Anolis sagrei: one gene and its partner. The main gene of each other region encodes a partner of the protein of the gene in region 2 in a complex. Links are inferred from orthologs where the notes say so. Each region holds a gene or a part of one and is shown on either strand. Other genes may lie near its edges. The genes, in order: EDA and EDAR.

The links.
Region 1: the proteins of EDAR (region 2) and EDA are in contact, whole or in part, in a crystal structure (PDB 7X9G), measured with the Homo sapiens proteins. The link is inferred for Anolis sagrei from reciprocal best matches to the Homo sapiens genes EDAR and EDA. Residues at the interface, in NP_071731.1 of Homo sapiens: Glu55, Pro56, Tyr57, Leu58, Lys78, Ile86, Arg88, Arg89, His90, Asp92, Glu94, Gly95, Phe97, Val134; in NP_001390.1 of Homo sapiens: Gln256, Ser258, Ala259, Gln261, Asp265, Asp273, Arg289, Tyr310, Tyr311, Lys340, Thr341, Tyr343, Ser370.

Annotation. Positions count from the first base shown.
Region 1 is NC_090030.1:171,660-184,341, reverse strand, and holds the start of EDA (ectodysplasin-A), read left to right. Parts: upstream 1-8,186; 5' UTR 8,187-8,249; coding exon 8,250-8,579; intron 8,580-12,682. UniProt on the Homo sapiens protein: Cytokine which is involved in epithelial-mesenchymal signaling during morphogenesis of ectodermal organs. Functions as a ligand activating the DEATH-domain containing receptors EDAR and EDA2R. May also play a role in cell adhesion.
Region 2 is NC_090023.1:107,390,291-107,402,397, reverse strand, and holds the start of EDAR (tumor necrosis factor receptor superfamily member EDAR), read left to right. Parts: upstream 1-7,120; 5' UTR 7,121-7,285; coding exon 7,286-7,318; intron 7,319-12,107. UniProt on the Homo sapiens protein: Receptor for EDA isoform A1, but not for EDA isoform A2. Mediates the activation of NF-kappa-B and JNK. May promote caspase-independent cell death.

The DNA of each region.
Region 1 (12,682 bases), on a different chromosome or scaffold from region 2:
ATGGGCGGGGCCAAGGCAAGTGGGAGGAGCCAAGGCATGGGGTGGGGCCAAGGTGGGGATGTCTTCCTTCCTTCCTTTTATTGGCACGCTTTGATTGTCACGTGCGACTCTGAGTGGGAGGGGCCAGGGGAAGATGGGCGGGGAACAGTAAAGGGGGCGGGGCCAAGGAAGGGCTTCCTTCCGCCTTTTTATTGACCTGCTTTTATTGCTATTTGCGACTCTGCGAGTGGGAGGGGCCAAGGCAAGGGGCGGGGCCAAGGCAAGGGCTTCCTTCCTTGCTTTTATTGGTCGGCTTGGATTGTCACATGCAACTTTGTGAAGGGGAGGGGCCAAGACAGGTGGGAGGAGTCACGACAGGGGGCGTGGCCTTCTTGCGGTTTTTGTCACCTGTGACTACAAGTGGGAGGGGCCAAGGCAAGAGAGGTGGGGCAACCACAAAGGGGGCGGGGCCATGGCAAGGGCTTCCTTCCTTGCTTTTATTGGTCGGCTTGGAATGTCACCTGCAACTGTGAAGGGGAGGGGCCAAGACAGGTGGGAGGAGCCACGACAGGGGGCGTGGCCTTCTTTTTATCAAGCTGCTTTTGTCACCTGTGACTACAAGTGGGCGGGGCCAAGGCAAGGGGCAGGGCAAGGAAGTGCACCAGGCAGGGGGGAGGGCGGCCAGGCTTCCTTCCTTGCTTCCTTCCTTCCTTTTATTGGGCTGCTTTTATGATTATTATCATGTGTGACTCTACAGGGAACTGACCACCATCTCTGCCCACTTTGGCCATTCAACTGATGCCCCCCCTCCCCCCCATCTCTGGGCCAAGGGCTGCATTCTCCGGGAGGAATGTGAATGGTTATCTTCACAGACAGTTCTGCAAAAAATCAGCCCTGGGTTCAGCCTTTGCAGATTTATTTGGGATTTCCTAGCAGAGTTTCGTCAGGAGCCCCGAAGAGTGGGGAAGATCCCTCTGGCCACTTCCCAGTCCCTTTTCCTCACCCCGAAGAGTCGAGACTCTCCCCCCGGCCTCTTCCCAGTCCCTTCTCGCTGCTATTTGCATTTCTAAGTGCCCATTCAGTGTCAGGGGAAGGCCCATCTCACTGCGGATGGAGTAGTCTTGCAGGGTTTTGGTGACTCTCATCCTAGGAAGTCTCTCCGGGATTCTCTAAAGCGACTCGGAGGTCAAACTGAGGGAGACAGAGGTGCGAAACAGGCCAATGCAGAAGGCTCTTTGGGGCCGGGTTGCGCTTTCAAGTCTTCTTCCCCCCTCACCCCAGTTTCACTCCTCCTCCTCCTCTTTCCTTCCTTCCTTCCTTCCTTCCTTCCTTCCTTCCTTCCTCCCTCTTCCCCTTTCCTCTCCCCCTCCCTTCCACTCTGTGTCCTTTCGAAGGGAAGGGAGAGGCCTTTTTCTTAATGCCATTTTATACACTGTGCTTCATGTTTAGGACTTTTTTGCACTAGTAGTCCCTTCCGACGACATTGGATTCCCCCCTCCCCTCCCCCCCCCCAAGATGGTTTGACAACACACTTAACAATGAGGACAACAACGACAGCAAACCCATGCTATAATTCAGTTGTATTAAAACTTATTATCCTACTACTCTTCTGTGTTTCAATAGTCTCTGTACCTGTAATGCTTTTTCGGTTTCTGTTGTATTTCGGACCAGGGTTTTCCCTCTGCTCCTTGTTTAACCCAGTAAAGAAATAAAACCAAGTGTTGAGAATTGACGGTGAGAAGCCCCCGCGCGGTCGGTTATTTCTCCTCCGAGAAGGACTTCCCTCCATCCGGGCACTGACGTCCCTAGGAACGCAGCCCAGAACCGCATTGGCCTTTTGCGCTGTTGCGTCACAATTGTGCCTCGCGTTCAGTTTGTGTCTCACAGGGGCTGTTTCCAAGGGACTGGGTCCCTCATCCATTATGATGTCTTATGTTTATACATCACTTTTCTCCCCACAAGGAGACTCACAGCGGTTGCTATATCCCAGATGACTTCTTTCTGTACATTATTATTATTATTATTGTGTTTATACCCTGTTTATTCCTTCAACATTATTATTATTTATTATTTCACAGATTTGTATACCGAGCTTCTCAACCTCGTTGAGGGACTCAGCCCGGTTTACAGCCATAAAAACATATACACTCATTAAAATATCATATATCACAAATTACAAAACAACTTTAAAAACACTAAATATAAAACTACAGTGGTCAGTCGTCCTAATAAGATGGATCTATATCCACTTCCATCCAGAGTCCTATGGTGTTGGCTCATTCCTCGAAGGCCTGACTCCACAGCCACGTCTTCACCCGTTTCCTAAATGTTAGGATGGATGGGGCGGTTCTGGCCTCTAGAGGGAGAGAGTTCCAGAGTTGTGGGGCCACCACTGAGAAGGCCCTGTCCCTCGTCCCCACCAGCCGCGCTTGCGAGGCTGGTGGGACCGAGAGCAGGGCCTCTCCAGATGATCTTAGTAATCTTGATGGTTTGTAGGGGAGAATACGTTCAGAGAGGGAAACAGGGCCGGAGTCGTTTAGGGCTTTATAGGTCAACACCAGCACTTTGAATTGTGCTCGGAAGCTAATTGGCAGCCAGTGGAGCTGGCGTAACAGCGGAGTGGTGTGCTCCCTGTATCCAACCACCGTTAGTAATCTGGCTGCCGCGCGTTGGACTTGCTGCAGCTTCCGGGCAGTCTTCAAAGGCAACCCCACGTAGAGAGCGTTACAGTAATCTAAGCGGGATGTAACCAAAGCATGTACTACTGTGGACAAGTCAGCCCTCCCAAGGTACGGACGCAGCTGGCGCACAAGTTTTAATTGTGCGAAAGCTCCCCTGACCACCGCTGAGACCTGGGGTTCCAGGCTCAGCGATGAACCCAGGAGAACTCCCAGACTGCGTGCCTGAGCTTTCAGGGGGAGTGTGACCCCGTCCAGCACAGGCAGTCACCCCATACCCTGTTCGGTCTTACGACTGACCAGGAGGACCTCTGTCTTGTCTGGATTTAGTTTCAATCTGCTGTCCCTCATCCAGTCCGAGACAGCGGCCAAGCACCGGTTCAGGACCTGAACAGCCTCCTTAGTGGCAGGTGGAAATGAGTGATAGAGTTGGACATCATCTGCGTACAGATGACATTGCACCCCAAAACTCCGGATGATCTCTCCCAGCGGCTTCATGTAAATGTTAAACATGGTGACTCAAAGTTGCTATATGCCATAGGACTTCTCACGATCCATATTATTATTAGTTTATGTTTATTATTACCATTATTATGTTTATTATGTTTATTTATTTACTTATCCTTCTCTCCAGAAGGAGACTCAAAGTGGCTCCTGTATCCCATATGATTGCTGTGTACTAATCTTGTTGTGCATCCAATAATAATAATAATAAGATCGCTCTGCTAGCTGTTGTATTGGATCACATGTCCTTCCCAAGTGTCTAGGATTGTGTGATGTATTGGCGTGTAATGCGTGCAGATTCCAGTAGAGAGGCCTTTTGCAGCTGACAGGTGGGGATTTGGTCAGCGCCAATTGTTTTTAATAATAATAATAATAATAATAATAATAATAAAACTTTATTTATACCTCGCTCCATCTCCCTCAAGGGGACTCAGTGCGGCTTACATGAGGTCAAAATAACATAAAAACATAGAACCAAGCAAAATACATAAAATGCAAAATCAAAACAATATATGACGCAAACAATATAAAATCAAGAATTAAGGAAAATTTCACAAGGCAGGGCCAGATTCACGGATACAATTTTTAATTTTTTTAAAAAAACATTGGGAGATAGGACATTGTAAATTATATGGAGGAGGCTCCGGGAATGAGGAAGGATTTCATTGCACAAACCAAAAATAAAGTGCTTCTAAGGACATTTTGTGCAAAATGTGGTCAGGGAGAATCTTACATTATCTTAAATGTAATCGTACTTACATTTAAGTGCAGGCCAAGGTCTTGAGGCACTGCACCCAGTGTGCCCATCACCTCCGGGACCCCTGAAGTCGATAGGAACTTCAGGAGGGTCTGCCCCAGGAGGAGAGACCCTGTGGCCTCACCAAAGAGGGATCACTACATTGGTGAGCAAAGAGAAGCCTGATTTTAAGCAATTTTTATTTCCCTAGGTTCCCAAACAGAATCTCACCAAGGTTGAAGAAGCACCACCGAGATGTTTATTAGTGATTCAGCTGAAAAGGATGCAAAGCCGCGATCATTCGTCAAGCAGAGCATGTGGTTACAGAAATAAATGCCATTTTTATAGAAAATACAGAGTTGTGAGTTTCAAAATTCCCGATGGTGATTGGCTGGCGCGCTAACAGCTTGGCCGTTCTCTGTGCGCCTGGGCCAATCATAGGGCTTCCGCGGTGCGCCTGAGCCAATCAGGAGGCTCCCCCACCTCGACACTCCAGTGAATCAGAAGGGAGGGAGGCGAGACAAAGAGATACAATGCATTCTTGAGTGGATTATGGAGTTTAATAACCTGGAGGCTTAACGAGTCTGGAACCTGCCTGCCAGAAAAACCAACTTTATTGTCTTGAGATGGGTCTGCAATAAGCATTGATCACTTAATCCGGCTTTTCCGCTTGCGATCAGATAGAGCACAAAGGGGAAGACTTTGGTGAATGTCTTTAGTGGAGAGATTTGAAAGAAAAACGGGTTGGGAGGGAAAGGGCTTTACGAAGGTCATCTTTCCCCCATTATTATATGATTAAAAAGTCTGCCAAGCGGAAATCCTCTTGATGGCCCTACTCCGAAGTCAAGAAAGATATTCCTTTGTTATTGTCCACGCAAGAAATGTCCTAAGATAAGGGTACTTTCATGATCGCTAATTGCTTTTCAGAGACAGGGCAACTTCCCTCAAGGAAAGGGGAAAGGGGGTAAAAGGGTCAGGGCAAGGTCAGATACATGAAGGGAAATATAGAAATCTAGTAATCTTGATGAAAAATCATATCCAGGCATCCCCCCCCCCCCCAAACAGAGCAATTTTAATCACAGCACAGTTTGAGTTCATAGTTCATTTTGGAAAAATTCATGGGTGAAAAAGGTTTTTTTTTTAAATGAAGTCCAAAAGTATATGACAGAAAGTCCAAGTCACAAAAAGGAGTCTGGTGACTTCCACTGAGCCAAAAGATGGAGTCCTGCAGTGCTGAGGTCGAAGCTGGTCCTTGGTCCTTGGAAAACTATAGCTCCTTCCAAGGGCTGAAGCCTGATGATGAGGCTTGGATTTTGACTGTTCTCCTTTTAAAAAATATTCTTGATAAACCAAAGGTTATTCCCTGAGCCTAGGGGCCCAAAATGCAAAAAAGCGAGATGGCAGATAGGGTTAGAATTTAGCTAGGAAAGATATGGCATCAAAATGGAGTCGATCCGTCAACTTGCGGATATGGGGCCCCGAAGGGTTTCTGTATCCGCGGTTTGAAGGAAAGCAGATTCAGCCTCCCTGGGACGCCAGGAAGGCATCCCAGGCAGGCCTGCGGTCTCCCGCAGCCCAGAAAAGGTTGTTTCATGCATTTATTTATTTATTTGCTTTATTTCTATACCACATTTTTCAGCCCAGTCAGGCGACTCAATGCGGTTTACACAATACAGGTTATCAAACAATGTCATAGGCAATTAAAACACATCATATACAACAAACAAAATCAACAACAACTATCAAATCATGTCATAACGCCTCAATGAAATCAGATCCGTTCTCATAATCCTTGTGCCATTCCTATGTTCAATTTTACCGTCTTTCTGTGTTCAGTTGCACTGTTTAGCCAAACGCTTGCTCATAAAGCCAAGTCTTAACCTTCCTCCGAAACGCCAACAACGAAGGGGCCTGTCTGATGTCTACAGGTAAGGCATTCCATAGCTGAGGGGCCACCACCGAGAAGGCCCTGTCCCTCGTCCCCACCAGACGCGCCTGTGACGCAGGCGGGACCGAGAGCAGGGCCTCCCTGGACGATCTTAATGTCCAAGTCAGTTTGAACCAGGAAAGGGACACAAAGTATCATTCTGGAGAGGTTAGGGTTACAATTCATTTAATCTTTATTGAGGGATTTGTTACCTAGTTTGGGCTGGGAAAAGGAGTGAGAGGAAAGAGCACAGGGCGGCAAAGAGTCCCCGGTTGAGGCTGCTCTTGCGGGGGCACCAGTTTCATCAGTTTCAGCCCAACTGGGCATCCAGGAACTGTGGAACCCCCTGCGGCTGGTCAGATCAGCTTGAAGGCAGGGGTCAGGGATGCCCTCGACGACACCCCCACGATTGGCTTTGCAGCTCGATCTTTCAATCCTCGCATCGTGTCAGCTTTTCCAGTTGCTTCTCGTTGATCGCCTGGGATTGGCAAATCCATGACCCAGGCACACTTGGTTTTTCCCCACAGTTGTGAGGTCAGGAGTCGTGTGCTCACTCAGCCTGAATCCGGAAGTCCCAGAGTGGTCTGACGTGTTCGTTTCCTGTGACTCTAGGCAGGCTGGCGATCCCACCCGGATCTTTGTGGCACCAGTTCCAATGTATTGTCAAAGGCTTTCATGGCCGGAATCACTGAGGGGTTGTGGTAGGTTTTTCCGGGCTAGATGGCCATGTTCTGGAGGCAACTTTTCTCCTGACGTTTCGCCTGCATCTGTGGCAAGCATCCTCAGACCTCACTACCTCTGAGGGTGCTTGCCATAGATGCAGGCGAAACGTCAGGAGAAAAACTGCCTCCAGAACGTGGCCATCTAGCCCGGAAAAACCTACCACAACCCACAAGTTCCCATGTTGAGATGTTGTTGATGCCTCTCCCATAGCAGGCCCCCTCCCTGCCTGCCCTTCCCCTCGGCGCCCGCCAGGTGGCGCCCTCGCCTCGCCTTCCTTAGAGGAGCGGCTCCGCCCCCTTTTGTCTCGAGAGGGCGGGGCCAGGCCTCGTGACCTCGCCGGAAGGGCTTCCAGGCGGGGGGGGGGCGAGGGGGGCCGGGGGGGGCAGGAGATTAGGAAATCCGCCGGAGGGCCCCCCCTCCCCAAAGGCCGCCCAGCTCGGAAAACAGACCATGGGATCGGAGATATCCTCTATTCCATTATTATTATTATTATTAGATGAATAATTAATAGTCCTTGTCATACTCCTCATTTACTCCCAGTGTGGGTCTCTATGGCTGTTCTCTCTCCCTCCTGGGGGGCTCCCAATGGCATGCCTGCCCTGCCTTCCTGGCTCACCCACGGGGTCGCCCTCCCCTCCCCCCGTCAGCACCTTGGCCAGCTCCTTCCTGAGACTGCCTTCCGCACATCTCCCGGGAAGGAAGGCGGGACTTCCGGGCAGCCAGCCCTCTTGGGCTGCGAAGGGGGCGGGGCGAGCGAGCAGGGAGAAGCCCCGCCTCCCCCTGGGGGGGCCTTGAGAGGAGGCGGAGCCAGCGAGGGGGCGGGTTTCCCCTTGGCCCGCCCCCTAAGGGTCTCTCTGCGGGCTCCTTCCCGAAGCCGCGCCCTCTTGTCTTGGCCCCGCCCCCTAAGGGGCTCTCTCCGTGCTGCGAGGGGGCGGGGCCTGAGAAGGGGGCGGCCCTCTCTCCCTTGGCCCCGCCCCCTGAGGGGCTCTCCCTACTGGCTCCTTCCCGAAGCCACGCCTTCCCTCCAGAAGCCCCGCCTCCTCCTCCTGGCTTGGCCCCTCCCCCTGGGGGGCGTTGAGAGGAGACGGAGCCGAGGGCGGGGAAAGCCAGCGAGGGGGCGGCCCTCCCTCCCTCCCTCCCTTGGCCCCGCCCCCTGAGGGGTCTCCCGGCTGAAGCCCCGCCCTCCGCTCCTGGCCTGGCGCCGCCCCCTGAGGGTCTCTCTCCGTGCTGCGAGGGGGCGGGGCCTGAGAAGGGGGCGGCCCTCTCTCCCTTGGCCCCGCCCCTGAGGGTCTCCCTGCTGAAGCCCCGCCCTCCGCCCGTGCTCCTGTCTTGGCCCCGCCCCCTGAAGGGGTCTCTCCTAGCGGCAAGGGGGCGGGGCCTGCGAAGGGGGCGGCCCTCCCTCCCTCCCTCCCTTGGCCCCGCCCCCTGAGGGTCTCCCTGTTTCCGGAGCCTGCCTGCCTGCCTGCCTGCGAGGGGGGCGTGGCCTGGAGCGGGGAGAGCGCGAGTCGGCGCTCCCTCCCTCCTTCTCTCCGCTTGGCCCCGCCCCCTCCCGGGCTCCGCCCCCTGGGGCTTCCTCCTGGCGCGGGCGGCTTCCAGGCCAGAAGGCAGGCGGGCGGGCGGGCGAGCAGGCGGGCAGGAAGGAAGGAAGGAAGGCAGGCAGGCAGGCAGGCAGGCAGGAGGATGCGGGCGTCGTAGCGCCGCCATGGGCTCGGAGCCGCCTCTCCCCCCCGCTCCCGCTGCTCCGGCTCTGGCGTGCTCGGCGTGGGTGTGGCGGGCGCTGGGGGCGTTCCTGGCGCTCTCGCTCTCGCTGCACCTCCTCACCCTCGGATGCTACCTCGAACTCCGCTCAGAGATCCTGCGCCGCCGGGACACCCCCCCAGGGGGCGCACACACGCAACACCAGCACCACCAGCACCACGCCCAGCTCCCCACACCAGCAACAGCAGCAGCAGGAGGGGCCGGGGGCGGGGCCCAGGCAGGGCCGCCACGCCCCCCGCAAGGCACGCCCCCCGCCCACCACCACCAGCGGCAGGTAAGGGGGGCGGGGGGGGACGTGACCCATCTGGGCTTGCACCTGTTACTAAGGGGCATCCTGTCTGTGTTAACATAGAAGAAGAAGAAGGGGGAGCTGCCATGGGATATCATGAATAGGATTAGCATAGAATAATAATAATAATAATAATAATAATAATAATAATAATGGGAGGGGGATCTACCATGACATCTAATGAATCTTATTAATATATAATAATAATAATAATAATAATAATAATGATGGGAAGGGGAGCTACCATAACATATGATGAATCATATTAATATATAATAATAATGGTGATGATGATGGGGAGGGGGACTACGATGACATATGATAAATCATATTCATCTTAATATACAATAACAATAATAATAATAATGGGAGGGGGGAGCTGCCATGACATGATGGATCATATTAATATATAATAAGAATAACAATCATAATTCATATTAATATGTAATAATAATAATGGGAGGGGGAGCTGCCATGAGATATCACGGCCAGGTATAACTATGTGAGGGGAATACGTCCTAGGGAGGAGGAGGGAGCAAGCTTCCTTTCTGCTTCCTTTCCTTGGAGACTAGGACGCAATGGAGCAAAGGCTCCAAACTACAAGAGAGGAGATTCCACCTGAACCTGAGGAAGAACTTCCTGACTGGGAGAGCCGTTCAGCAGTGGAACTCTCTGCCGTGGAGTGTGGTGGAGGCTCTTTCCTTCTTTGGAAGCTTTTAAGCAGAGGCTGGATGGCCATCTGTCAGGGGTGCTTTGAATGCAATATTCCTGCTTCTTGGCAGAAGGAGGTTGGACTGGAGGATGGCCCACCAGGTCTCTTCCAACTCTAGGATTCAATGAATTATATTAATATATAATAATTAGCTATATAAAGAAACATGATGATGATGATGGGAGGGGGGATCTGCCATGACATAGAATGGAGCATATTAATCCATAAAAATACAGTATAACAGTAGTAATAATAATAATAATAATAATAGTAATAATGGTGGAAGCTCCTTCCTTAGTCGCCATTGTTTTTATTATTATTACTATTATATTTGTTATTCATTCATATGATTCATCCTGTGCCATGGCAGAAGATTCCAGTAAATATGGTATTGAGGGTTTATTATTTATATATTATTTATTCATTCATTCATTCTTTATTTATTTATTTATTTCCCACCCCTCCTTTTGGCTCGAAGCAGGGCACAACATGCATTATTAATACTATTATTATTATCATTGTTATTCCTTACCCACCTCTCTTTTTGTCTCAAGGTCCCCAATGACATGTACTGTTATTATTATTTTCATTATTGTTATTATTGTCATTCCTTACCGGCCTCTCTCTTTTTGGCCCGAGGCTGGGCACAGCGCAGTTTACATGCATTCCATAAAAGCACCTCGGAGGGCATGCGCCGTGGGTGCCGTAGGGGCCGGAGGGATGTGTCCCGTGGGCCCGGCCCTATTTTTTATTTATTTATTTGGGGTTCTTTTACCCCGCCCTTCTCACCCCGAAGGGGACTCAGGGCGGCTTACAAAAGCAAGGCACAATTTGATGCCTGCATCATAAAAACAATCAAACACAAAATTACATCAATACACAGTTAACACCAAATATACATTATAACCATAAAATCAATAAAACCAAATACAAACCCAGTTTGTCCTCTTACATGGTCAGCGTTTGCTACTCATAGATCTAGTTTTCCGTTCCACTTCATCAATCCTGCTGGTCTTACTCGCCTGGTTGTCTGATTTAATTGCCGGAGTGCCCAAAGGCCTGGTCCCATAACCACGTCTTCACCCTTCTCCTGAAGGCGAGGAGGGATGATGATGCCCTGATTTCCCCTGGGAGTGAGTTCCACAGGTGAGGGGCTACCACTGAGAAAGCCCTGCTCCTCGTCCCCACCAGCCTCACTTGTGACAGTGGTGGGGTCGAGAGCAGGACCTCCCCAGATGATCGCAGACTCCAGGGTGGGACGTAGAGGGAGATATGTTCGGACAGATACACTGGACCAGAACCGTACAGGGTTTTGTAGGTCAAAACCAGCACCTTGAATTGTGCTCGGAACTGAATCGGCAGCCAGTGGAGCTGGCACAGCAGAGGGGTGGTATGCTCCCTGTATGTCGCTCCAGTGAGCAATCTGGCTGCCGCTCGCTGGACTAGTTGAAGTTTCTGAACAATCTTCAAGGGCAACCCCACGTAGAGCGCATTGCAGTAGTCTATTCAGGATGTAACAAGAGCGTGGACCACCGTGGCCAGATCAGACTTCCCAAGGTACGGGCGCAACTGGTGCACAAGTTTTAATTGCGCAAAAGCTCTCCCGGCCACCGCTGAGACCTGGGTTTCCAGGCTCAGTGATGAGTCCAGGATCACTCCCAAGCTGCGAACCTGCGTTTTCAGGGGGAGTGGAACCCCGTCCAGCACAGGCTGTAACCCTATGCCCTGTTCGGCCTTACGACTGACCAGGAGGACTTTTCCAAAGGGCTGTGCAAGGAGATGGCTGCCCTTCAGGCCTTCCTTCATGGGCCGTTGGGTCAGTTCCCTGGGGCCCAAGCCCCCCTTCAGGCCTGGTCAAGCACACAGAATGATGGTGGCCTCGTCCTTGGCCATGCCTCTGCCCATGCGTTTGAGTTTGGGAACACACTCCCATTCCACGGTGGCTCTGTTTACTTTCCCTTTGGGATTTCTGGGCTCACGTGCAGGAGGTGGGCCTGTTCTGCAACCGGCTGGGGGGGATTGGCCACTTGGGGTGTCCGTTCTGTTTCCTTCAATCCTCTTGCAGAGCACTCGTGTTTATGTCCACCAAAATAAGAACTGCTTTGGCTGAAAGGCGCTGCCACATTTCCTTCCTTCCTTCCTTCCTTCCTTCCTTCCTTCCTTCCTTCCTTCCTTCCTTCCTTCCTTCCATTGCTTCCTCCCTCCATCCATCCTTTCCCTTGATTCCCAGTCCTCCTTTTCTTTCCTTCCCCTTCCTTCACCCTTTTCTTTCCAACCCATTCCTCCTCTCTCTCTCTTGCCTTCCTTCCTTCCCTCCCTTCCCTCCTCCATGCCTTTTCCTTCCTTCTTTCCTCCCTTGCTTTCCTCCCTTCCTTTGCTTGCGTGTTTCCTTCCTTCCCTCTTTGCTTCCTTCCTTCCCATTCCTCCTCTCCTTCCTTCATTCCTTCCTTCCTTTGCTTGCTGGATAACTTGCTTCTTTCTTTCCTTTTCCTCCCTCCATTCCTCCTTTCCCTTCCTTTCCCTTCCTTCCTTTGCTTGCTTGTTTCCTTCCTTTTCCTCCATCCCTCCCTCCCTTCCTTTCTTCCCGTTCCTCCTCTCCTTCCTTCCTTCCTTCCTTGCTTTGCTTGCTAGCTTGCTAGCTTGCTTCATTATTTCCTTTTCCTCCCTCCCTTCCTCCCTTTCCCTTCTTTCCCTCCTTCGATGGTTTGTTTCCTTCCTTTTCTTCCTTCCCTCCCTTCCCATTTTTTCTCTCTTTCTTTCCTTCCTTCCTTCGCATGCTTGCTGGCTTGCTTCTTTCTTTCCTTTTCCTCCCTCCCTTCCTCCTTTTCCTTCCTTCCCCTTCCTTCCTTCCTTCCTTTGCTTGCTTGTTTCCTTCCTTTTCCCCCCTCCCTCCCTTCTTTTCTTCCCATTCCCCCTCTCCTTCCTTCCTGCCTTCCTTCTTTTGCTTGCTTGCTAGCTTGCTTCTTTCTTTCCTTTTCCTCCCTCCCTTTCCTTCCTTTCCCTTCCTTGATGAATGGGGCTCCTTAAAGGGTTATTTTGGGGCCACCTTCCTCCTGCTGACCTCCCTCTTGGCCGGAGACCCTTCTTGACGCCCCCCCTCCCTTTGGGGACCCATGGCCTGGAGTGGGGCTGGAGGCGGAGGATGCAGGCACCCCTTGTCCCACCTGGCAGGGTCAGCGTGCCCTTTGCAGGCAGGCGGCTCTTCCCAGGGAAAGATGGGGAAGGGAGCGAAGGAGCGAAGGAAGGAGCGAGCGGAGGAGAGAAGTTCACTGGTTCCTCCTTGGCAGCCTCTCCTGCCTCGGGGCTGGTGGACGCCATCCAGGGAATCAACTCTGGAATCAGGCTGACTTCTTGCCAGCTGTTTTGTGTTTCCAAA
Region 2 (12,107 bases):
GAATGACTGGTCTTCTGAAACTCTCTTATAATACCGAGGCTTATTAAATATGGTTTTCTGTGGGTGAGCAGATAGCAACTACTGGATGGCAAATGTTCTGCATCAGAATCTAGGGCTGATGTGGTCTAGCCAATGGAATTTTCTGAATCAGCACCCCAAATAACCAAACCAAATCTAAAGTTGATCAAAACTTTATTACTTATTTGTAACCCTTTTGGTACTAATGTTGGAGAGTGGTCCCTGGTCAAAGTGGTCTCTGGTCAAAAAAAAGGTGGGGACCCACTGCTCTAGAAGAAATTAATAACACCATAAAATATAAAGAGTAGTATATTCTGAAAACTTATACTGTTTGTGGCACTGCAATCTAATATCCAATTGTTTTAGTGTATGCCTGTTGAGTTTAAGAGAACATATCTCTGAGTCTCCACATGTCTACTTTTAATAGATTAAAATATATACTAGAATCACACAAGACTGCAGTTGTACTCAGATCATACTATTTGTGTTCTGTATTTTCAGTAGAATTGGGATTCTGAGATTTGATACTTGGATACAAATAACAACATCTGGGATATACTGAACAACAATAAAGATATTATATATGCCAATATTAGTGGCTGCGCTCTGTGGAGCCTATTGAAAGGCATGATTTTAAAAACATACATACAAATATAAACCCTATTTTGGCATAGATTCTAGATATATATTCTTTTTGACATGGCTAGCTCCCCAGAGCTCCATCTTTTACATAATTTCTGATTCTGATTTATGACATTTTTCCTTGGAATGATCTTGTTGGTCTACATAATTTTAGCTTTTTTACCCCTAGATAATATGCTGGTCTATGGATTTATGTTTTCCTAGATATTTTCAAGCTGCATTGAAATTATTAGGTTGTGTTGTAAGTAGAAGTGCTTTAGATGAATCCCAGCTACCTTGTAATGTTGATTTGTACAACTTAATATCAACAATACACTTTTGATTATATTAGTTTTGGTTTGTGTTTGACTAAAGTTCCCACAATATTTTTTAATGTAATCTGGTCTGGCGTATTCTTTCTCCAGACTCAGTCTGATGGAAGACTTATTTCCTTCCTTATATATTTATGTTTGTTTTTTTACATAGAGTGGAACCTCAACTTAAGAGCATCCCACCTTAAGAGCGTTTTTGATTAAGAGGGAGCTAGCTCTTAACTCAAAATGCTGCTCGTATGTTAAAGTGAAACCCGGGCCAAGCAATTGCTCGTAAAATGCTCTTAAGGTGGGGTGCTCTTAAGTTGAGATTCCACTGTATGCGAGAGTAAGCTGTTAAACCAATCAGGCTCCTGTATCACCATATCATCCTGAACTAAATAACTTCTTCAGTGAGAACTAGAGATGAGAAGGCCTGGGGAAAAATTGGGGGGGGGGGGCACAGGGTTTTTTTTTTCTGTTTCCCCCACCCCCAATTTTTCCATTTTTGCCCCCTCCAAATTTTTCAGGTTTTTTTCAGGACTTTCCATTTCTAGTCACAACCCCTCCAAAACTGATGGAAAGATCATTCAACTGTGCTCTGATCGTTGGCAGAACAGATTTACTTTTCCTCTTGAAGCTGATGTCCAAAAAGCAGGTTGTGGGGATGAATTAGAATCATGACAATGGTATCAAAATAATGACTAAACAGTGGTTGTGAACTTAAAGTGCAGCCCTAATTAGCCAAGATTGCAGAGAGCTGGATGAGCTAAGCTAACTGGAGCTGTGCTGAATCCAAACGCCACCCAATCTATGGATCATTTAGAATTATTATTTTTTGCCTTACCTAACTTGAGGGTGTTCCCCTGGACTGGAGGACTTTGAATTAAGTTTGCAGCAACTGTAGTAAGCTGAGAGCAAAGGCAGAAAAAGGGAGGGAGTAGAGAGATGTTTAAGTTATGCCTTGGAGGAGAGGAATAATAATAATAGCAACAACAGCAGCTGAAGACAACAGTAATTCTGAATTTGTTTAGACAGATCACTCTGTAACCAGGTGCCTAAGACCAAATGTCAGAAGAGGCCTCTGCCAGTAGAAGAGAACTTTTATCCACAGAAGTGGCTGCCATATAATCATAACCCTTTACTAGTTGTGCATTTTTACAATTAATTATCAAGATCACGTTTATCAACTAGTAATCAGAATATTCATGAGAATACAAAAGTAATTCATTAGCTCAGCCAAAGGCAGGGAGAGAAGCAATAGCTCAAGCCTCCCAGAGCTTGAGAGATTTCCAAATCCTAGAGCCTACCTTTCTCTCAGACTTTGTTTTTCATTTGGAAAGTTCATGACTGATGCAGACTGAAAACTAACTCACTACATCATGGTCTAGGTTTGCATATATTTCACATATTTTGAATTTAATTTAATGTTTTCCTTGCACACATTATAGTCTTTGCATGGCAGGTGTGATCTTCATCATATTAACCCTAGCATCTGCATTTAAGAACATAAGTTTCATTAAAAATTTAACAGGCTTTTGTTTCTCCTCCTTGGGGGGGTGGGGGGCATGCTCATAGCGGTGCTTTGTTAGTTAAAGTTCTGCAACTAACTGCATCTTCTTAAGGACCTAAACCACTGATTATGGTTTCATTATTTTTCATTCTGTATATTGGAGTGGGTACCTCTTATGAGTTTAGGCACGCATTTTTTGCCTCTGTAACTCTTTAAGGGGGCCATGCTAAATGTTTTTTAATCAATATTTTTCTTGACTAATATAATGAGTGTTTTACAAAAGTAGCTCTTGTGGTGAACACCTATCATGATGCTAATAGCTTTAGGGAGATTATTGAGAGCCAGAGGGATGTACGACTTGCATAATTCCAAAACAGCTATTTAAGATTGCTTAAGATAAATAAATCATTAAATGTGAGAAAACAAAACAAAAGATCTCACCTGCAAAGGATTCTTATCATTAATAATAAATCACCTCTCTGCCCCTACCCTGGCATTATGTGTAGCCTGAAGGGTTGAGCATAATGAACACTTTTCAAAAACTAGGGTCTCCCTGTGTATCTTACTGTGCCAATAGGGCGTAGAATGGGGGAAACTACATGAAGAAAGAAAGCTCTCCTCAGAAGCTCCTAAATGGATGTCATCGTTCTCCCTGCCAGAGGAGGGAAATGAAGTTTTGAGAACTTCCCTCAACAATTCTGTTCTCTCCATTTCATTTCCTAATTTCATTTGATGCTCAGATAGGGTGTGACGCCATCAGATGGGGAATGGGAAGACTGGCATCAAGTTGCCATTCTAGTTTATCATTATTTAGTAATGACAGGCAACACTTAGCCAACTGATTGGGAGACTGGCAGCATCAAAATTGATAGAATATGACTTCGACTTCAAAAGCTTAGAGAATTACTATGCTGCAGATGGAGAAAGCATTGTTTGATATCTGTAATGTTTCTCCACCTGATCTTTGTTGTGGTAATTATGTAGTGTTGTTCTTTTTTTTCTATGCAGGGCTGGTCCTATTTATTTAATTAATTTATATCCTATCTTTCTCCCAAGATGGAATTAAAATGACTTACAATAATTTTAAAAATTACTTTTTTGGACTTCAATTCTCAACAGACAACATGGCCGTGACCATGCGGGTTGTAGTCCAAAAAGATAAGGATGCATAAGACTGTGTAATTTTATGCACGAAATCGTAGTCTTCATAGTGTCAGTATGTTTGTATGTAAGATTAATCAAACCCCACTGAACTCAAAAGGCAATTCAGCAGCATAAAGGACTAAATGTTTCCCTTACTGTTTTACTCACCTTCTATTATTATTTATTTTTCTTAAAATTATCTATATCTTGCCCTCCACCAAAAATAAAGATATCTTCCCTACTTGGGATGTTACACATCTTTGTGAAGTTGAGCCAAAGGAACGTCACTTCTTCAGTGTCATTTTGGTACAATTTCAAATGGAAATAGGTAATTATTATTTTGCTGTTGTTGCTGCTGCTGTTTGAGAACATAGACCTGACTGAAATGCATAGCTATATTTTGCCCTTCAGGTGATGTTAGCGGAAGCTTTGAGGCAAGGTTTAGGGTAAAGAAGTCCATTTCTGAAACAAGATGAAAGTTAAGCAATTAAAGGATGAGGCTCATATTTAATTTTCCCCTTAAAGTGTAATTTTTCATGAAGTGACAACCTCCAGCTCTTTTCAAGTTTTATAGCTGTTCCACATTTGGCAGCAAGAACAGGAAGCCATCTGTAGCAGGATCATTGTAGGCTTATTCACCTATAGATACGGGGGGTGGGAGATTAAAAGCAATGAAAACTTTAAATGAAGGCTTTGAAGATGTGCAATGTAGGATGTTTGTTTCTGCCTGAGGGCTTGAGCTCTACAAACAATAATAGTGGAACATTGATATATTTTTAAGGTGGATATTGTAGTACAAGATCAGACAGAGGTGTAAGGATCGAAGTTTTTACATCCCCTTCTGAGCATGTTTAAAAAGTTAGACCACATTTGTCAAATTCAAAAGTCTGCAGGCCAAATCCGGCTTGCTGCGTCATTTTATGTGGCTCTCTGGATGCTGGACTACAACTGCTGGATCCTTTATTATTAGATGCCATGACTAAAGCGGATGAGTGTTGTCATACAGTAACATCTGGAAGGCTGCCGTTTGTTTGGTTTAGTCAGGATAATGGGCTTTGAATTTAAATCAAAGCTTGTGGTTATGATGTCTGACTTTACAATTTCCTTTAAATTTTCCCCAACCTCAGAGCCGCCAGTGCTGTTGGGTTGTAATTTCCATTATCCCCAGTTCACATGGTGGATGATCAAAAGTGATGGGGCTTGTCATTCACTAACATCTGAGGATCCCAACTGGGTAAAAACTAAAGAGCACCTTTATACATGGATTCTCCATCCATGGATTCAACTGTCCTTTGAAGACAACCATGAAGTGATGCGTCCCTCAATGAAAATGAGTTCGACATGCCTTGAGTAGACCAGTCTTAACCATCTCTGACCACAAAAGGTGAGAATTGGATAGAGGTGCCTCTTAGGCAGCCAGCATATGTTTCTCAGACAATAAAACAATAACGTATGACTGTCTGGGGAATGGTGAGGAGATTAAACATTACAATTCTTACAAAATATCAGCTAAAAACTATTCTAACATTTGTCAGTTCTCAAGTGTCTTCCAGAATAAAAGAACTTTAGTGCAATATTTCTTGCAGGAATCATAGCAGTAGATAAATGATCATTATCATCTTCCCATTGAAGTTTGGAGCTGGAACCATTGGTAACTGGATGTTTAGTTGATTTTGCAGTTCAGCCCAGATAGCAAGGTAGCTACCATCCTCAACCAGGTGGAGCTGAGAACAATGGATTTTTTTAACTCTGGCCTAAATTCATTTAAAATGCCAATTTCACTCAGATTTGTAGCCGGATGGGGGCCAAAACTTCACATTTCTGGCAGGGGTATAGCTTACTTTCAAAGCATCTGAACAGAGGCATGAGATTCCTGCAGAGCTCCTGGCATTTCAAAAGGATGCCAGGAGCCTTGGAGGGGACATTCTTGGAGTATTACTATTGAAAACAATAGTCATAACTAATCCATGTCATTGATTTCGACTGGTTGTTCTAAGCATGATTAAATATTGATGCAACTTATCTAATAAAGTCTTGCCAATCCTTTGTAAGGATGGTCCAAGTTTTAGCTGCTATGCTATGTTATCGGGTATTGTTTTTAGACTGGATTGCATTAGTTGCAAATTTCTTCCAAAATTTAGAAAGTTAGGATTCTGGCATACTTGTTCAGTGTGCCAGAATGCCAACTTTGTGCCAGAATGCTTACATGGAATAGCATTTGAAGTGAGTTACAGTAGGCATGGAAAAACTTCGGCCCTCCAGGTATTTTAGACTTATGCCTGAGTTACAGTGATAGGTGCAAGAACTGCTAAATTGCAGTTAATTTTTAGAAACCACCTGTACTTTTACATTTAATAAAAACAACTGAAGCAGTTACTTTTTCTAACACTGGGATGCTACAAACTGCTGTGGTATGAAGTATACTCTTCCATCTATCTCATTGTCAGTAGGGTACCTATGTGTGATGAATGCTGTATGGGATAAGGAGAGCTATTGCTAGTTTTGATCACTGCACTTTTTAATTATTTTTTTTAGTAATCCCCAATTGTAAACCAAGTTACTGTTTAGTTCAACAAGTTTTAGGATAGGACCATGCATTTTCTGAGAGCAGCACCCCAGTACAGAATATTGTCTTTCAGAGAATTACTTTCCATGTCTAGATAAGAAGCATTGTAATTATTTTAATTGCTTGCAAATGGAAGCTCATGATATGTATGTCTTTCTTCTAATTTGTGGGAGAAAAGGGTTTTTCCAGGTAGTTAAAACAAGCATGCCCTAACCAGCGCTTAATCTTTGGACTACAGATCTCAGAATCCTGCAGCCAGTGTAGCTGCTTGGAGAATTTTGTGTTTGGTAATTTTAAAAAAGTAAGTTTCACACATTGTAGCAGGAAACAGTTTTATTTTAAGTTAGATAACCAAGACTAACTAGTAAAGGGCTCACTATGAATTTGGAGAGAGGGTCCTTTTTCAGCCCTACCTGCAAACACCAGGGGCTTTCTGCATGCCAAACACACGTTTCATGAGCTGCTTCTAAAGAGAACAATTTGGTGAATAAATCCCTTGGTCTACCATATTGACTCCACATGTAATGTGTTAAAAATCCATTGACATGGATCCAGAGGAGTCTTGTACGAGTGACAAGGCACGTCCTTGGATTTAACATAGCTCTGTAGCGTTCTTCTGGTTTTATCTTGTTGCTGTTTCCTGTCCCATTTAAAATCCCAGATGGAAGACACCATTCCTAAACCTATTTGATGATTATTGAGGCTTTAATTTGTGCTTTTCCCCATGAAAGTTAATAATTTTCAAATACAAATGACATAAGCAAAGACCTCTGTGCCCATTGCCTATGTCTTGGCACTCAGGGTGTTAAATAAAAATATGCAAAATTGGTAATTAGATGTAACCAGAATGTTAGGTAAAATGCTACAAGCCTCCAGGCCTTTCAGCATGTTCTAAAGTTGCACAGAATCAGTTGTCTAACCGTGGGTTAGACTCTGAGGCTTTTGAACTCGGCAGGTTTCCTTTCAGAAGACAAATTAAAAAGTTGATTTATCTCTTCTCATCTTGCACACCTTTCCAAGATAGAGAACTGCTCCGCCTTCTTAGTATCAAATGCTAAAATGAAATAGGGTCTGAAAACACCTACTTAACTTTAGAGTTATTTGCCTGTTGTGATGGAACAGTATAAGGATGAGAGAGAAGCAATGGTAAGACTTTTATTAATTTTATAGTTTTACAATAAAATTGATATTTTTCTAGAGATGTCATAGTTTAAGTTTCACTCTTGCATCTTTGGTTGGAACTGCATTATGTTCCAGACGACATTATACAGCCATGTAGATTCATCATATGATGAGGAGTAAGCCCTATTGTCTTACATCTTAGACATGGATACAATTATATGCTGATATAAGCATTTTAGCCAAAGGTAAATAATCTCATAGTGGTAAAAGAAAATGGCTTTTGAAAACTGGTATTTATTTGTGGCACAATAACCTGAAAGAAATGTGATATCCTATTTTGGCTTGTAGGTATTACTGCATGAAGTCATATTGGCAGCTTCGTATATTGTAATATGTTATGATGTAACCAGTGTATTTTCAGTTGTTCAATAAGCAGACAACATGACCTTAAATGAAGGGTTTATGTGGAAACAAACTGATGCACTCTGACCTGCAATTCAGTCTTTAGATTTTTTCGCTCTTAAATAAGGCTTTTGTATCATCACATTAAACATTCTTCCTTAATGATACTGTATAACATTTTGCCAAAGGAAGAAATGACATTTTAATATGGAGGTATTAGTGAAAGTTATGTTCATGGGCTTATTGCTCAAGCCCTACTCATGTCCTATGAAAATCTCAATTCATTTGGAAATGACTTAAATGGGGTAAGATTCTGCATGGTGTGTGCAAAAAGCTGCTTTTCAACATAATATAGCAATTGAGACAATTGAAAAGGTAGCATTGGCAAGTATTGATAGATCTCTCATTTTTTCTGTCTCCAGCTTTACAAATGGAAAAAAAAACTGTATAAAATATGTATTATCATTTTGATAGGTGATAGAATGAGAGAGAATGTGAGAAAGAGTGTGATAGATGGTGGTAACTCAGTGTTGCCCAAACTTTGTTGAGGCGGAACCTCCATCTAATGGACCTTTCCACTTCCTTGAACTCATCATCAGTATGTCTACAGGAAAAATGCAGAGAGAGAGAGAGAGAGAGAGAGAAGGGGGAACAAAGAGGGAAAAGAGGAAAGGATTTTTATTCATACAAGTTGTGGTTGTATGCAAGAATCATGGGCAAAGGTATTAATAGCCCTATTTCTAGCCTTAGAAGAGAAATAGTGGATGATATTTCAGACTCCCTAAAACCATCTAGAAGAAGGCATCAACATAGGAGCTTCCTGGTTCTTTTTCATAATTGTGCTAGTTTGTCTGGGCAGTTGGACAGTCACTTACATAAACCCAACATGAGGATCTTTTAATGAGCCATTTTTAAATTCATTGAGATTGAACAGCAGGGAAAGATGTCCTCTGAAAATTCTTCCCTTCAGATAACACCATGCTGGTTTGTGGCATTCAGATTGTTACTGTCATGTTTCCAAACTCTGTTCCACACAGTATAAGGATAGTTTGAGAGAACAACACTGGAGAAATGCATTTGCTACTTAACGTTGATCCTTCAAAAAGTCCTTATGTTGGTGAATTGTAACAACCTTGTTGCTTTGTTATCAGTTATATACTCTGCTCAAGATAATTGAAGAAGGGTTATCACTAAACATTGATGGTGTTTTTCTCAGGGAGGTGAAATAGTGGAATTTCATGAGCTTTTCAAGGAACTGTTAATAGTAAAGAAGGTATATGATGTGAATGACAGGTTGTGAATACAGAACCAAGATGTATTTTCAAGGGCAACTTCTTTCAGATATTGCTGTCAGAGCTGATTCATTTATCTTAACCTTTGGGTAAATCCATCTGCACTTAGCTGCAGAGAGAGAAAAAAGTTAAATATAGCTACAAAACATATTACTTGTTTATATTTAGCATTTCACGTTTTTTAGTTTCAGAGAACTGAAATAATGTTTTATTATTTTTGCCTACAGCATCAATACATTTGTTGGAAATAAAATTCATTAGCTTTTTGCTGGCGTCCTTAGATTGAGGCAAGAATTTGCCAATGTGCCATATCGTTAAAATGCCATATACTCTTAATGATTTTTTCAAGATACAAGTATATGCTGGCATATCTAGCAACAGTGAGCAAATCTTTTGTGTTGATGCTTGCAGAAGTGTGTGTTTGCTCTGGAGGGCATAATTCGCAACTTCAGAATGGCCAGATTCACTGAAGTCATTGCCAAATGCTTACAGACTTCCGCGGATTAAGGTTACCTCCTTAAGCACACAGGAGCTTTCATCCCAGTGGCTTCCAGCAAGATGTGTGTTCTTCTAGGGCCTAGAGTCAAATTATTCAAGCGTTACCTCACAGTAGCGGAAGACTTGCACCCTGAAGGGGGGAAGATTCATAATGAAGCACAGCAATGGATTAGATATACTGTATCATATAGCGGAACCATTCCCTCAAATGAACCTCTTTGAAGGATACCAAAATGGCCTATGCCAACAATGATCAAACCTAGAAGATCTCCACTAGCAAGATGTTGAACATATAAAAAATGTATATCAACTAAATCACATCAACAGTATGCTGTAAATCAGAGATGGGAGATCATTTGCTCTTCAGATGTCTCCTATAGAGCCTTGTCATTGGCATCTCCTGCTATCATGGCTGAAGTCTCAATCACATAGAGACCAACAGGTTCTCCAATATTTTGACCTCTGTAACAGTTTGAGTATACCCACAACTGCTTCACTTACTCAAATATTTTGAAGTGGGGATGAAAATGAGAAGAAAATCATTCATTTGGATTACTGTGCATAGTATTGATAGATTTTAAATCACCATGACCAAGATGTACATTGCATTCTGTTCCCGAGCACCAAGTTCAAGCAACATATGGAACAGGTTTTAACAACATAGAAAACACTCTTTCTTGGGACACCAGCAATTTAAACTGATGGGATTAGCGGAGCATAACAGTGTTCACTATGTTTGGGTCATGACAAGCACTTTAATTTTATGGATTCAATTAAATTTCACTTGCAGCAGAGTGTACTCATAGGATACACTGTTATATCTGCTTGGCATCAAAATGCATTCATAGAAATTGTTTTTTAAAGGAAAAGTAAGCCACTTAAGAACTAATATGTAGTATAGCCTAGTGTGCCCAAATGCAAGGAGCTAACTATATGAGGGTTACTGCTTCTATCACATTCCTTGTCAGCATATAAAAGAAGTGCAGAGAGACATTCAGTATGTGGACTAGATGGATCTCTAGTATTTTTCACTCAGTGTCACAGGGATAGTAGTTGATCTGGAGAACATTGGCTATTCATGCAAAACAAAACCTTGAAATTTGCCAAGCAATGCTATCAGTGGCACTGGGGATAGGGGATTCTAGGAACTGTAGTCTCAAATACTAACTTCTCCAAGCTCTGGTGCAAGAAAACCCTCTCAAGGTACTTTGAGATATTTGCTTTACACCAGCACCATGTTATGATAAGTGGATGCTCACAATTCAGTGTTGAAGCTAGGATATAGCCACATTGAAGAATTATAGCCCCTACCATAATTGCTACAGTTCACTGTTAGAGAATTCTGGGATTTGTGGTTTTCTGAGGTATCTAACCTTCCCTGTCACAGAGCTCTGGTACAAAATTCTATAGCAATGAACCATGAAAGTTAAAGGTGTTATCAAACTGCTGTAATTCTGCAGTGTGTCCTCTCCCATGGTGATCCCTGTGGAGAGTTGTATTCTCAAACTATAAGCCTTTGAAGTTCTGCTTTGTACCAGAGCTTTATGTTCTTCAGACCAATTGTTATTCCCACAATATCATCCCAAAATAAATGCACCAACAAGATTAGTTTAGAGATAGAGCCGCAAGCATCATAATTCTTCAGTGGCAATAATTATGTACACAACAATCACTACCGCCACCACATAAGAGCCTTTTTCTGTAGACTACATCCTGTTGTATTTCCCAGTTCAGTTCTGTACTCTTCAAGGTAGATAACATGTTGAAGCGCCTTGGAAAAGAAATGCATCCATCCCATAGTGGCCAGAATGGATGAAGTGCAACAGCCAAGAAAGAGAAAGAGCCTTGTCACATTACACTCTTATAGCACTATACTCCACTTCAACTGCCATGGCAATAATCCTGTCGAAATCTGGAAGTGATATAGGATCCTGTACTATTCTATTAAATGAAGGCCTAAGGGACTGTGTTGGAGAATGTCAAAGTGATGAAAGAGGATCTTTTATTACGCCATGATCTCTTTGTGTTTAGCTGATACCTCTGGGTGTGGGTGGGCCCTTTTGGAGATGGGATACAAGTACAGATAGCTGTGTCTCTGATGGTGTATACAAAATATATGGTAACCTGCCTGCCAAACGCAAAGGTTGGGGATGTGAGATATCAATGCCTTGTGGGTTTATTCCAGAATTATGGCATAAAATTGATTTTTTTTTGTATGCAGTCAGCAGTTATTTTGGAAATGGTAACTATAGTAGAAGGGCCTGGTAACCAAATGTAAGGGGTCAAATAAGAGCAGCAGACAAGACAGGCTTTGAATTTGATCCAAGCAGGAATATTTAAAATATAGTTTTACAACAGAGTTGACACTGACTTCAGTGTATTAGAGTTTACTTGGCTGAGTAAATCAAAATGTCTTGTTGCTTTGCTAGTTCTTTCAATGTATACGCGCAGTTTCATTCTGATAGTTCACCATCTTGAAGCATTCAGTGTGTTTGTGTATATGGAGAGCAGAGAGGAAATTGGTTTCTGGTTATGGACTCCACAGAGCGGCATCTTTATAGACTTGTAGGAAGAGAAAGTACTGATGCTGTTGCATTTTACAGACATTGCCATATTCTGTC